2 linked regions of the Caenorhabditis elegans genome follow. The protein of the gene in region 1 interacts with the protein of each later gene in a pairwise test. Each region holds a gene or a part of one and is shown on either strand. Other genes may lie near its edges.

Evidence for each region. Proteins that work in one complex are often made in the same cells at the same time.
Region 2: the proteins of E02H4.2 (region 1) and sym-2 interact in a two-hybrid assay, tested with the Caenorhabditis elegans proteins (one large-scale study listed by BioGRID).

The regions. Positions count from the first base shown.
Region 1 is NC_003284.9:14,276,604-14,283,611, forward strand, and holds E02H4.2 (MIF4G domain-containing protein), read right to left. Parts: upstream 5,024-7,008; 5' UTR 4,997-5,023; coding exon 4,880-4,996; intron 4,451-4,879; coding exon 4,289-4,450; intron 4,235-4,288; coding exon 4,172-4,234; intron 4,129-4,171; coding exon 4,033-4,128; intron 3,940-4,032; coding exon 3,823-3,939; intron 3,027-3,822; coding exon 2,943-3,026; intron 2,900-2,942; coding exon 2,683-2,899; intron 2,629-2,682; coding exon 1,860-2,628; intron 1,812-1,859; coding exon 1,722-1,811; intron 1,618-1,721; coding exon 1,561-1,617; intron 1,514-1,560; coding exon 1,433-1,513; intron 795-1,432; coding exon 761-794; 3' UTR 519-760; downstream 1-518. Other genes in the region: Degenerin del-1, read left to right, coding at 107-231, 283-437.
Region 2 is NC_003280.10:9,185,477-9,190,445, reverse strand, and holds the start of sym-2 (RNA-binding protein sym-2), read left to right. Parts: upstream 1-2,114; coding exon 2,115-2,139; intron 2,140-3,195; coding exon 3,196-3,618; intron 3,619-4,692; coding exon 4,693-4,867; intron 4,868-4,969. Other genes in the region: twk-4 (Potassium channel domain-containing protein), read left to right, coding at 1,966-2,139, 3,196-3,226.

The sequences.
Region 1 (7,008 bases):
AGAATTTTTGGATATAACATGTAACTTGAAAAATGGTTTTGTTTCTAAAATACATTTATTCTCAAATAAATTAGTTGACAGTTAATGACAAAAAATCGATTTTCAGAGAACACGCCGCAATGATTGAAATTTATTATGAACAAATGAGCTATGAGATATTGAGAGAATCTGAGTCGTATTCTTGGTTCAACTTGATGGCCGATATGGGTGGCCAAGCTGGCTTGTTTTTAGGTGATTTTAAACAATTTGAGTAACTCGCAATTCAAAAAGTGAATTTTTCAGGCGCAAGCATTATGAGCGTGATTGAGTTTTTATTCTTCGCTGTCCGAACTCTTGGAATTGCATGTAAGCCAAGAAGATGGAGGCAGAAAACGGAATTATTACGAGCTGAAGAATTGAATGATGCGGAAAAAGGAGTATCCACAAATAATAATTGATTTTTGATCTCTGTGGAATTCAAATGTGAATAAACAGGTTTTTTTCAAACAGTCTACTCGGGCTCATAAAAAATCCACAAGAAGATACATTTTATTTTGATCAACTTTGACCGTAAAAAGTTGATATTCAAGAGAAAACATGGAAAGGTTGCTGTTGAATACACATAATGTTGAAGAGAAGATTTGTGTGGCCGGATTTCGAACTGGGATTCCAAATTTTGCTAAACGAAAATTATACAAACAAAGTAATTGAAGAATACAGGAAAATGAGAATGAGCTAAAAAACACAAAAACAGATAGAATGAAACGCACAGCTCCGTTGCTTAGTTTAGTTGAAAGTTTGTCAAGTGGAGAACTCTGTAAAATTTATTTTCAGTCCCGTTATCCACTTTCACGTCAAATCAGTAGTGCCATGAATCCTTCCGACCAACGTCATAAAGATTGATGATGTACCAACTATGCTAGTTAGTAGTTATTACACCAACATAGTTGATACATTCAATTTCTACGTTACAACATCTTGACAGGTTTTCCCTCGAGAATGGCCTGTGAGCCTGTAGAGAGAAGTGAACCTGTAGAGTACACAGACAACATAACTGCCCAGGAAAAAAAGGAAAAAACTATCAAGATGTTTTCGCCACATTTGAATGATTAATTATTAAAAAACCACGAATTCATGAGAATGCCTATTTTCTGAAAAAAAAAAGCGGCAACGAGATATCATTCAAAAATGTAAGATTTAGGTGCCTTCGCTACGAGATATTCGCGCGCCAGAACGGTATGCATTCTCATGATCAGGTGGTTTTTTAATAAGTGTTAATGATTCAGTAACAAATGAGTGAATAAGTAAAATATTTTTTTTAGTTCCTATTCAGTATCAGGGCCGGGGTTTACTCCGAAACAGCTATGCCTATGTTATTCTTGTAACATCGTTTTCAGGACTAAAAGTCTGGTTTGTATGCAAGTTTACCATTCTTCACATTAGTTCAACTCACTCTTTCTTGTCAACTTTCTTATTGTATTTTGATTTCTTGCCAATGCCCGAACAGCAGCCGTAACCGGGGTTTTTGAGAGTTCTAAAACATGATGTGCATTATAAAAAATACTTCCGTTGTCAACTTACGAAGCTTTGTGTGGGCTTTGTGAAGAATCTGCGCACGAGACTATAATGATTGAAGGTCTGAAATTTTAATGACAATGGCGGTTGAACTCAGAACTTAAATTGAATTTCATGAATGTCAAAAATAATAATTTGTTTTCAATTAATATTTATTGTAAACTCACGGAGTATATTGTTCCAATTTTTCCCATGGATTGTTTTTGTTGAATTGCATTTTTTGATCAATCTCAATGGGGACAGAAGGGTTGGAACTACTGGAGTATCATAATATTCGTAAGAAATTTCATTTTAAAAAAACTTACCCGCTTGAACTTTCAAAGGAACTTTCAGTTTCTGGATGTTCCTCATTTTCTATTGCAGCATGATCTAGAGACTGTCCAATATTTTCTTGCATGACATTCAAATGTATTTCTTGATGAAAGTCATTGATGTCACGGAGTAGATTTCTCTCGGCGAGGATTCGGATCGTTTCCTGCACAATTGTACTGATTGGTGCCTCCAATTGTGAAACTTTGCCGCTGACAACTCCAGTTTCTGTCGAAGGTGGCAATGGGTGATTCAGTGATACATCTATTGATTTGTTATTTGTTTCATCGTGAAGATTAGTAACGCTAAGAAGAATTGGTTCATCGTTGTTCGAAAAGTTTTCAGCAGTAGCGGTATCATGTTCAGCAAGTATTGTATTTTCAACTTCAGTAACTGATTTTGCAGCAGAAACTATAACGTCGGGCTCTGAGCGTTTAGAAGATTGTTCCGGTACAGTACAAAAAATATTGAATTCAGCAGGCCCTGTCTCATTCGGGCTCTCATTCTCGGCGACATCTGCGATCAAGCATTGCGATGATTTCATTTTCTCCGATTGGTTCCTTGTTTGACAATTTGTGAGCGTTGAATTATATTTTCCATAAGCGTCACCTTCATTCTTTTTAGTTTGTGGTTGAATTAAAGATTCTTCGGCATCTTCGTAAGCCGAGTTGAACGAGTCAGTAGATTGTATTGAGAGGGAGGGAGCAAGTACCATAGGAATTTCAACAACATTCGAAAGTTGTTGAGCGTTGCATCCATCAATATCTGAACGAGAGATGAATTTAAAAACAGAAAAAAATTGTATCGGACTCTTGTTACCTTTTGTTTTCAGAACACAAACTGTTTCATTTCCATGAGATATGACAATTTTAAGCTCAGTCTTGTTAGGAGACAGCGGTAATTCGGAAACGACACCTGATGAGGAGGATGAAGATGATGCATTATTGTTTGGCAAATGCTGTCTGGATACTTGATTTGAACGGTTTTGGTTATGGCCATGTTGGTTTTTCCTGTCGTTTCTCCGGAAATTGCTAGTCTAAATAACTCAATTCAAAAATGAAATAAATCAATATTGATACCTTGGAGTTACGGTTGTTTCCTCGGCAATTATGTTTTCTGTATTGAGAAGTAATGTCCGGTGGGAATAAAAACGGAGTCAAATGCTGTAAAGATGATTAAGATTTTCATGAAATTTTTTTTTTTGACACTAGTTAAAATTTAAATAAAATTATATTTCACTTAGGTAGTTTTGTTACGATCTCAAGGAGAGATGAACAATGAACGTATTGATTATTTTTTTACGGAAAGGGCAAAATTACATTTGAAACAGAGGTGGCGGCAATTGTCGTTTGGCAATCGAATTTTCGCCAATTTCGGCAGTTTTGGCAATTGCCGCAATTGCCGATTGCCGAAAATGTTGAAAACCGGCAATTGTCGGAATTACCGATTGCCGGAAGCCAGAATTGCCGGGAACATAAATTTAATACGTTTTGTAAATTTTTGAGTCTAAACATGCATTTAAAAGAAGATGTTTTCTTTTCAAGCTTAAAATGTTTAAATCCTGAAAGTTTTGGCCGTTATCTATTAGAAAATGACTAACCAAATACTAACAAGGTGATTTTTTTTTTCATTTTTTGAGTTATAATTATGTTTGAAAATTGCCGAAAATGTCCGGCAATCAGCAATTTCGGCAATTTTCGGAATCCCCGATTGCCGAAATATTTGAAAACCGACAATCGCCAAAATTGCCAAAATATTTGAAAACTGACAATTGCCAAAATTGCCGATTGCAGGAAAATTCCGATTTTTTTTAAGTGAGCATCAGCTTTCGAGTTTTCTGAGTCAACCTTTTATATTTTTCATTCCGACCTATTTTTTTTATTACAATAACTTCCAAAATCACTACTTTTTTACTGAACGTATTCAATTTAATTGTAAAACATTAAACTTCTTTCTTACATCCAAATAATTCAGGTCCTTCAGGTTCGGCGAGCTTTGAGCATTTGGAGTCCTTGGTTGGTACTGATAAGGAGGAGATACACAACACAACTTGTTCATTTGGTATTGATTACATGGCTGAATAAATTTTCCGTCCATGGTCTGATTATGGTAGGTTTAAAAAATGTGGAATGCCACGTAATTGTTCTCAATTGAAATTCTGATTTTTACCTGACTTTGTAAAGCATATTGCTCGGAATTGTAGTATTTTTGATGTGGCAGTTGTGCTGGGTGATTTTGGTTTGCATATTGGTAGCTTGTAAAATTCTGTAACATTTTAATTTCGAAATGTGTCAATAAAAGTCCGAACCTGAACATTCCAATTATTGGGTGGTTGAGATGGGTATGGGGCTGATGAAAATGTAGAATAATCCTGAATTCAAACATGAAACAACATTTAAATTTATAATTATCTGGTTTAAATTACCTGCACCACGGGAGCACCTTGAAAATACACTAAAGGATTTTGAGTTTCCGGAATCCACGAACTTTGGGGATACATCGGTTGCGAGAAAAACGCCGGGTTCGCTGGAGGGAATGTGTAGTATGTAGTCATCTGTGGAGCAAAACGTTCATACTTGGCAGGAAGCTGGAAATCCACTCAAAATATTATAAATTAAAAATTTTTAAATTTTTGGGTGAGGATGAACCAATGATATTCTGTATCTCCATGTGAGCACAGCAAAATACTCTTTCATTTTCATTGCACGCATTTTCATTAAGTCCCTTAATTTTTTTTTTTGCATAACTTGAAAATCGAGCATTAATCAACAAAAGCAACTGGTGTTATTCATGTTTTAGTGTGAGTGGAGATTTTGAAAAAAAAACACCGGCCAGTGCTCGTGCCGGTGCGGTACGAGGAAGAACATCTGTCACAAAATTAAGGACAGTGGTAAACATTCATCCCCACTAAACTGGCAAAAACAAAAAATGCTCGCAAGACCATGTCTCATATTTTTTCCATTTACTTTAAAACAAGCACAGTTTATATCTCTCAAAAGATTGAAAAAAAACATACCCGCGTTTCTGGACTTTTAATCGTTGACTGTGGATCTCCTTTGAATTCTTCATTTAAACCGTATTGTGGGGTCTGAGTTGGGTTCACAAAGCTTATTCTGTTAGAATTGGCTTCCATCGTTTGAGATTTAAATATGATCAATCTGAGATATATTTTTATGGCCCACCAGTGAATAAAAGGATATATGAAAAAAAAATAGAAGAATTGTAACATAGCACATACTTTAGTGACTAAATCTAGGTACACACTGTTAAAAATTTTCAAACATTATATTAGCATTCTATCAGTTTTGCACACTTCTGCATGTGTTCGAGGCTATCTAAATTATTCACAGCTTTTTTCAGACTTTTATAAAATTTCGTGTGATTAAAATTTTGCCAAGACTTGAGTCTCTACGTAAAATGTCAGTTTTGTAAATGAGAACAAGCTTTTGTATCGCATTGTTTCGTCGCTTTTTTTATACTAAAGTTCAAAATTTAGCTCACGCGTTGCCTATAATAAATTGACGCCTTTCCAAAGAATAGCAAAAAATAAAATCGAGAGAACGGAAAGGAGGAGACATCAAGATCCACAACTGAAAAAAAATGAGCATAAGACATTTGACTGTAGAAAAGAGAGCACAGAGAAGCTATGGCGCAGACAGAAAAGAGGCGGAGTTTTGAAAGATCATATGTAAGCGCATACATTTCCGAAAAGAGGGCTAACGAATATTCTTGTTCAACAACAAACCTTAAAAGCATTCATTTGCCATATGGTACAATTTTGAAATAGCTTTATGGCAACAAAGCAAAAGTCAAAAAAAAAGAGATTAAAGATGTATTTGATGAGATAGAACTGTTCAACTTTTTTTCAAGTATTAAGCTAAACGTGCAGCGGATTTATTTTTTTAAATTACTCATTTCAAGCTTCACGGGCTGCCCATAATATAAACTATTATAAAATCAATTTTTGAACAAGTTTACCTGTTATATATATTAGATGTAGATCAAAATCGTGAAACATTCTGAGATGTAATGAAATTTAATTTTTCACGAGAAACCAGATTCTAACATTTTGATACATTCAAAATGTTATCCAAAATCTCCAAGATGACAGGATAATTTATACATCACAAGGATTTGAACTAGAATTTTAGAATTCAGACTTTTGCAAATTTCTAAAATTGCTTCTTTGAAGTTACAAAACAGTTCCGTTTTCCTCAGGTTGCCAGTTTTTCAAAAACAAAAATATTGCAAAATTTACTGCAATTCAAAAAAAAATAGTACGTCGAGTGAAAAACTTTACATTGTTAAAATTACAGTGCATAAGAAAATATGACAGTTTGGTAATATAAACAGGCATGGCACACAATAAATTGTGCGGATAATTCAATTTAAAATTTTTGTAAGAATAGGGGCATTTTAAAACGGAAGTCGGTGATTTTTAACTCAATTAAAAATCTATATAAAGAATTGTAAAACAATTGACGCAAATTCAAAGTGTTGTAACCTTAAAACAATCAGAAGCATAATTAGTTTTGGTAATATGCAGCAAAACTGAACAAGCATACACTCAATTATGCATCATTTGAACTTTAGGATTTTGCAACTAGAAAAGAATAAAGTAAGATGATGTATTTTGAAACAAAAATACAAACTTCTAGCTCGAAGTTTAAAAATACCTTTGATTGAATGTTAGTGTGGAAATTTTTTGAAACAAAGTTAGGCACTTTGATACAAAACTACAAGAGAAAATTGAAGTTTCAATAAAATTTGTTAATTCCATTTTATACATTGAAATGTTATGTCGTCTTGATGGTGACTAGAAGAAAAGCCAACAGAGACATGTCGGAAGTTAATGGTTTTAGGGAAAACAAAACAATGTCAATTTGTGAAAACGTTCCGCGTACATCTTTTGTTGGGAAAAAACTTCACAAAAAAACAAATGCTGTCTATTATGAGAATTTGAATTTTTAAAATTAAAAATCCAGAGGTCTCTTTCTTTCTAATTGTCTAGTAATTGTAAATAGAAAGACGTCAAAACCAGAGAAAGTCAACATGAGTTTTATGTGAGTGATAATATTGGCATTTTGTTGTACTCTCCTTCTCAGTTTGAACATATTCCCACGATACAATAAATGGCTTTTGTCG
Region 2 (4,969 bases), on another chromosome or scaffold:
GAAAGTCTCTGGGACATTAAACACAGCTGTGCATGGGTCTCGCTATAAATTTAAGTGTGCTACTCGAGATTTAAAGTTTATATCGATGCTCCCAGTTTTTGTATTTATAAATTATATTTTTTGAAGCAAAAAAGAGACAGTCAAGAAGTTCCAAATAATGTTGGAACTCATGGGTTACTCGTCTAAGGTATATTGTGCAATCCAAACGAATTCCACGTTCTTGCTCTGAAGCAGTTGCTCTCAATACGTTTAGTTTGGGATTTTATGAATTTTTCGTCTTTCAGGCCTTTTCTTTTCTCAGAGCACCACTAGACACGTTTGTATAAGGACTTACTAGAAGTTTGTCTTCCAAAGTTGTCTGTGTTCTGAAAAAAATGTTCTCATTTCCTAATTAATTGTCAAATTAGACGAGAAAAAAAAACTGTTTCAATCCCAATTACCCAGTTACCATTCAGCGGTTTTTCCGTCATCATCTTTTTTCATCGTCTTCTCACTTCCAAACACAGTCTCAAATCTCTTCGACGTTCATAGTATTTCACAAGTTTAGATTGTCTTCTGAAGGTCTCTGATCTTCCCTTCCGTCACGTCCTCGAAAAATGAGGTCATTTTCTGAGCGGGTGGTGATGGAAACAAGATTTGAGAAGAGACTTAGATGACAAAGAAACCAAAACAGAAGGAAGTCGAAGTGGAACACGTGGGTTCTGGATTAGAGGTTTTTGCTGAAATTCGGAGGGAAACTAAGAAGTTTTATTTTTAGAGAAGTGATTCAAGTAAAACCTTTAAAAATTGAATTCTAAAAATGTAATTGTAATGTAGTAAATGATTTTGACGATCAATTTATCAGTTGTCCTCAAAATCTGATATCGTTAAAAATTTCAATTACAGCTTCACTTTTTTCTAGGAATCGGTTTTCAAAATCATGTGACAGCTTCTCAGCTTATCAGCTGAGCTTCTCACAATTTTGTCACAAAAACAAAGTGCAAAGAATTTGGAGTGAACGAGATTAGAAGGTTAATCATTTGAGCAAATATCAAATAGTTTCCCCCATATTCTCTCTTTCTATCGAATATATTTCTTTGCATGCGTATTTTCTCAGTTTTACCTCACGCCGGTAAACACGTCTTCTATTGCCCATCTACATTTAACCTTCACCTCTAAACATCCCTATCTTAATCTTAATTCGAAGTGGTATTTGGGTTTTTGCGGGTTCTTGTTGACAGCTAGATATGTGTTGGATAGCGAACATTTGTTGGGTTTTGAGAATTGTATCGAAAAACATAGCTCATTGGATTCCGTCGATCAAAATGAACTTGAAAAAAGATCTCAATGTTAAAGTTTTGGAAATTTTTGGGCATTGAAAGTTAAAATAAAGTACCGTGATCGCTATCCCAAAAACTACTTCTTTTGATTGACCCTGAGTAATTTTAAATTGGATGTCTAAAACATAAAAAATGTTAAAGCTACCGTATTTCCTTTATAAGTTGTACTCCCCGTTTCTTTGACAACCCACAGAATAACTTATTTCACAATTTCCAAAAATAATTCTCAGAAACATTTGAAAAAAGTAATGAACCAGTTTTCGTTAGAATTTTGCCATACTGAAGCTAATGATAGGAATACGGTAGTAAAAATTCGTGGAATTCTAAATTTTCTGAAGTAAAAATGGGTCCACATTTACGGCTTGTGTTATTCGCTGCTTGTGTCTATAAAACTTAATGTTTTTTTTGTTGTTTTTTTCAAAATGATTAGAACCTTGTGTTTTTGATGTTGTCTGACTATCAATCAAAAGTTTGGAAAATCCTTAGGAAAAGCTTTGAGTCAAACCAGTCAAAGGCTTCCAAGTCGGTACAACTAGCAGCCCTAACTATATCTCGATTTCATTTTCATAAGTTTTTTTTCTTCATCCGAATGTTCTCCATCATTTTCCACACATTCTCGATATATTCATTCTCTCAATTCTTGCAGTGTTCGAAAAAGTGAGTTCGTCGCAAAAGGGGCGGTCTCATTGTCGGCTGCTGCGCGGGTGGCGGGTCGACGTCTCGACGGTCAGCAGCCTCACCAACCCCGTTGGTTTGCGTATGTACCCAAGGACGCACTGACGATTCCCTACATTGATGAATCGGCAAACGTCTCATCCAGGCAAGTTGTTTTTTTATTTAAATTAATATTTAAATATCTTAAATTGAAAACCAGCACAACAGTTGTCCGAAGTTCCAATCTCACCTCATTCCCAAGTTGCCAAAAAATTTGGCATTGAAATATACTATCTTTATCATCTTTATCGTATGAGATACTAGTACGATAGGTTAACAGGAATGAAAATACCAACTATTGATACGACATTCAGAGATAAATTAATTTGGATTTTGAATGTTCTGAATGTAGAAGTAGAACATGAGCTTAGATGATTCTAATTTTGAAGTTCTAAAAAATAAAACAGCAAATTTTTAAATTTCGAGGGACTAGAAAATTAGCTGCTTGCTTTTTTGTTACAGAAATGAGTATGATTTTCAAGTTTTTCATGGATAATTTTTGAAACCTCCAAAAACAAATTTCCAGTACAAAAAACCTCAAACTATCAAGTTAATTGGATAAGTACAATGCTTTTTCAATTGTTTGTGCATTTTCGAAAACTCTTTATCTATTCTTAAATTAAAAAATGAAACATCAAATAATTTAATTTATTTTCCTCTTCAAATAATGAGTCTGACACCCCATCTCGATTTCACTTTTATTGAAACTCTGTAATAAATTAGTAGGTCAAGCTCATCAATCCCGGAAGCACTGTGTGACAGTCGGGGGTGTCTTGTTTCTCACAATGTCTCCCACAATCGAGACACGAAGTGTTTATACTACACAGGTCAACCCAATTTTGTTTGTTTACGTAATTCTATCGAAACTGCTCCTTTTGTTTTGAAAATGACGTGGCACAATGGGCGCCGAGGTGACCATGGCGGAGGAGAAGCTTAATTAAAATCGAGGAAAATTTGAAATCTTATTTGAATTGAACTGGAAACATTTTAGGAATCCGCAATTTTCTAAAATTTTAATTTTATTATTCAAGTTTCAGATACCGTTCAATATGTTTTGCCAGACTATTATTTCAATTTTCTAGATTTTTAAAAAATTAAATATACAAAGTTTTTCAAAAATAAATTCTTTAAAAAATTCCTACCTGCAACATGATAACTTCAGAACAACGACTACTACTCATACGAGTATCTGACGGAAACTACGATGAGAACACAAAACTAGTCGTCACCTCATTCTACCCACGCCGTCAGGAGGATGCCAATAATAATAGCACATCACCATCATCGGCCTCCTCATCCGGATCTGAAATATCAACTCGTCTTGTAAATATAACTCCTGAAGATGTCGTCAAATTTTTCGACGAGCATCCAACCTCATCATATATATTCACAAAAGGTCCAGAACCAATCAGACATGTGCTCATACCATTGTTCGCGAGAAACGAACTTTGTGTTCCACATCCACTTCATCATTATTATGATATCAAACATTTGTATTACGGTAATCAAGAAGAAGATGGTATGGAACAAGAAGAAATTGAAGATGACGTAGCAATTGCCAGGGCCATTTTGGATATGGATGACGGTATGTGTTTCATAAAATCGATTTAGGCGAAAACCTATTAAAATTTGAAGTGTTCAGAGCCACTAATTTAGAAAAAAATTATGACATTAAATCACATACAGCAATGATTGCTCTTACATTGAAAATTATTTGACTATTATTAATTCAAGTAATTGATGTTATTTTTGAGTTGCATTCCTATATCCATCGTTTGTAGTTTGATTACTTGCTTCGATGATTCTGGATAAGATAGATATGGTGGTAAAAGAATGCCCTACTGCTGTGATGAATGGTTTCAAAGCGGGAAGGACCTGTCACCTTTTTGGTGTCCTTTCAAGGGCCACACCGCCCGTGTTTGTCTCTTCTTTTGCCTTCACCATTTTCTTTTTGGAATGGGGTTTTCTATTGTGTGAGATATTGAATGGGAAAAAATACAAGTGGGTGATCTTGGGATAATGACTCGGTATGGGATTCTGTGACTTTACACATAAATTATTGTTTCAAGACAAAATAAGATTTTGCGAAGAATGTTCGATGCAACATGGCTAGTAGGGATCAGGGGCATTTGAACAAAATTTCAAGTTTTTCTTAAAATATTAATGATGTCCAAATAAATTGATAGATGTTGGCAAAATTCAAATGTTCCTATGTATGTATTTTACATTAAAGGTTCTCCTGATCATCTTGTTTTCTCTACTTCTCACCTTCCCACACTTTCTCTCAATCACCATTCGGGTCTCTTGTGATATATTTTTCCATAGAATGTAAACAGTGCGTACCAGTCAAGGTGTCCGAATGGATGATGGCTCTATGGCTCACCGCGCGCACAAAGGAGGGCAAACATGTGGAAGAGACGGTCCGTTTCTATGGTAAAATATGAAGAGAAATAGGAAGGACAAGTGAAAAAACGAGGAAGTTTTGGCAATTTTTTGTGGTTAAAAATTCGGTTTTCGAACAGTTCATATGTAGTATACCTACGTAGGAAATTGATGAGATAAGGATATTGACGGGAAATAGAAAGGGATCAATTTGGGAATGAAAATTGAAATCCATCGGAATATATTACAAATTAAATAAGATCATGTTTATTTTCAGAACTTCTCGAGAAAACCCATCAATTTGTGAATATCGAATACCAGCCTGCACCGATTCTGGAAGATCAAGAAGTCGGCGCCGACGGAGACAATGTTGTATGTAGAGCCCGTGGATTACCATGGCAGGCTTCTGACCATCATGTTGCACAATTTTTTGCTGGATTGGATATTGTGCCGTGAGTGTTTTTTGATTCAAATATTGTCAGAATAAATGTGGCATTTCGGTCATTATTTTTGAATTTTATGTTCCAAAATTCGATAAATACCTGTACAAACTC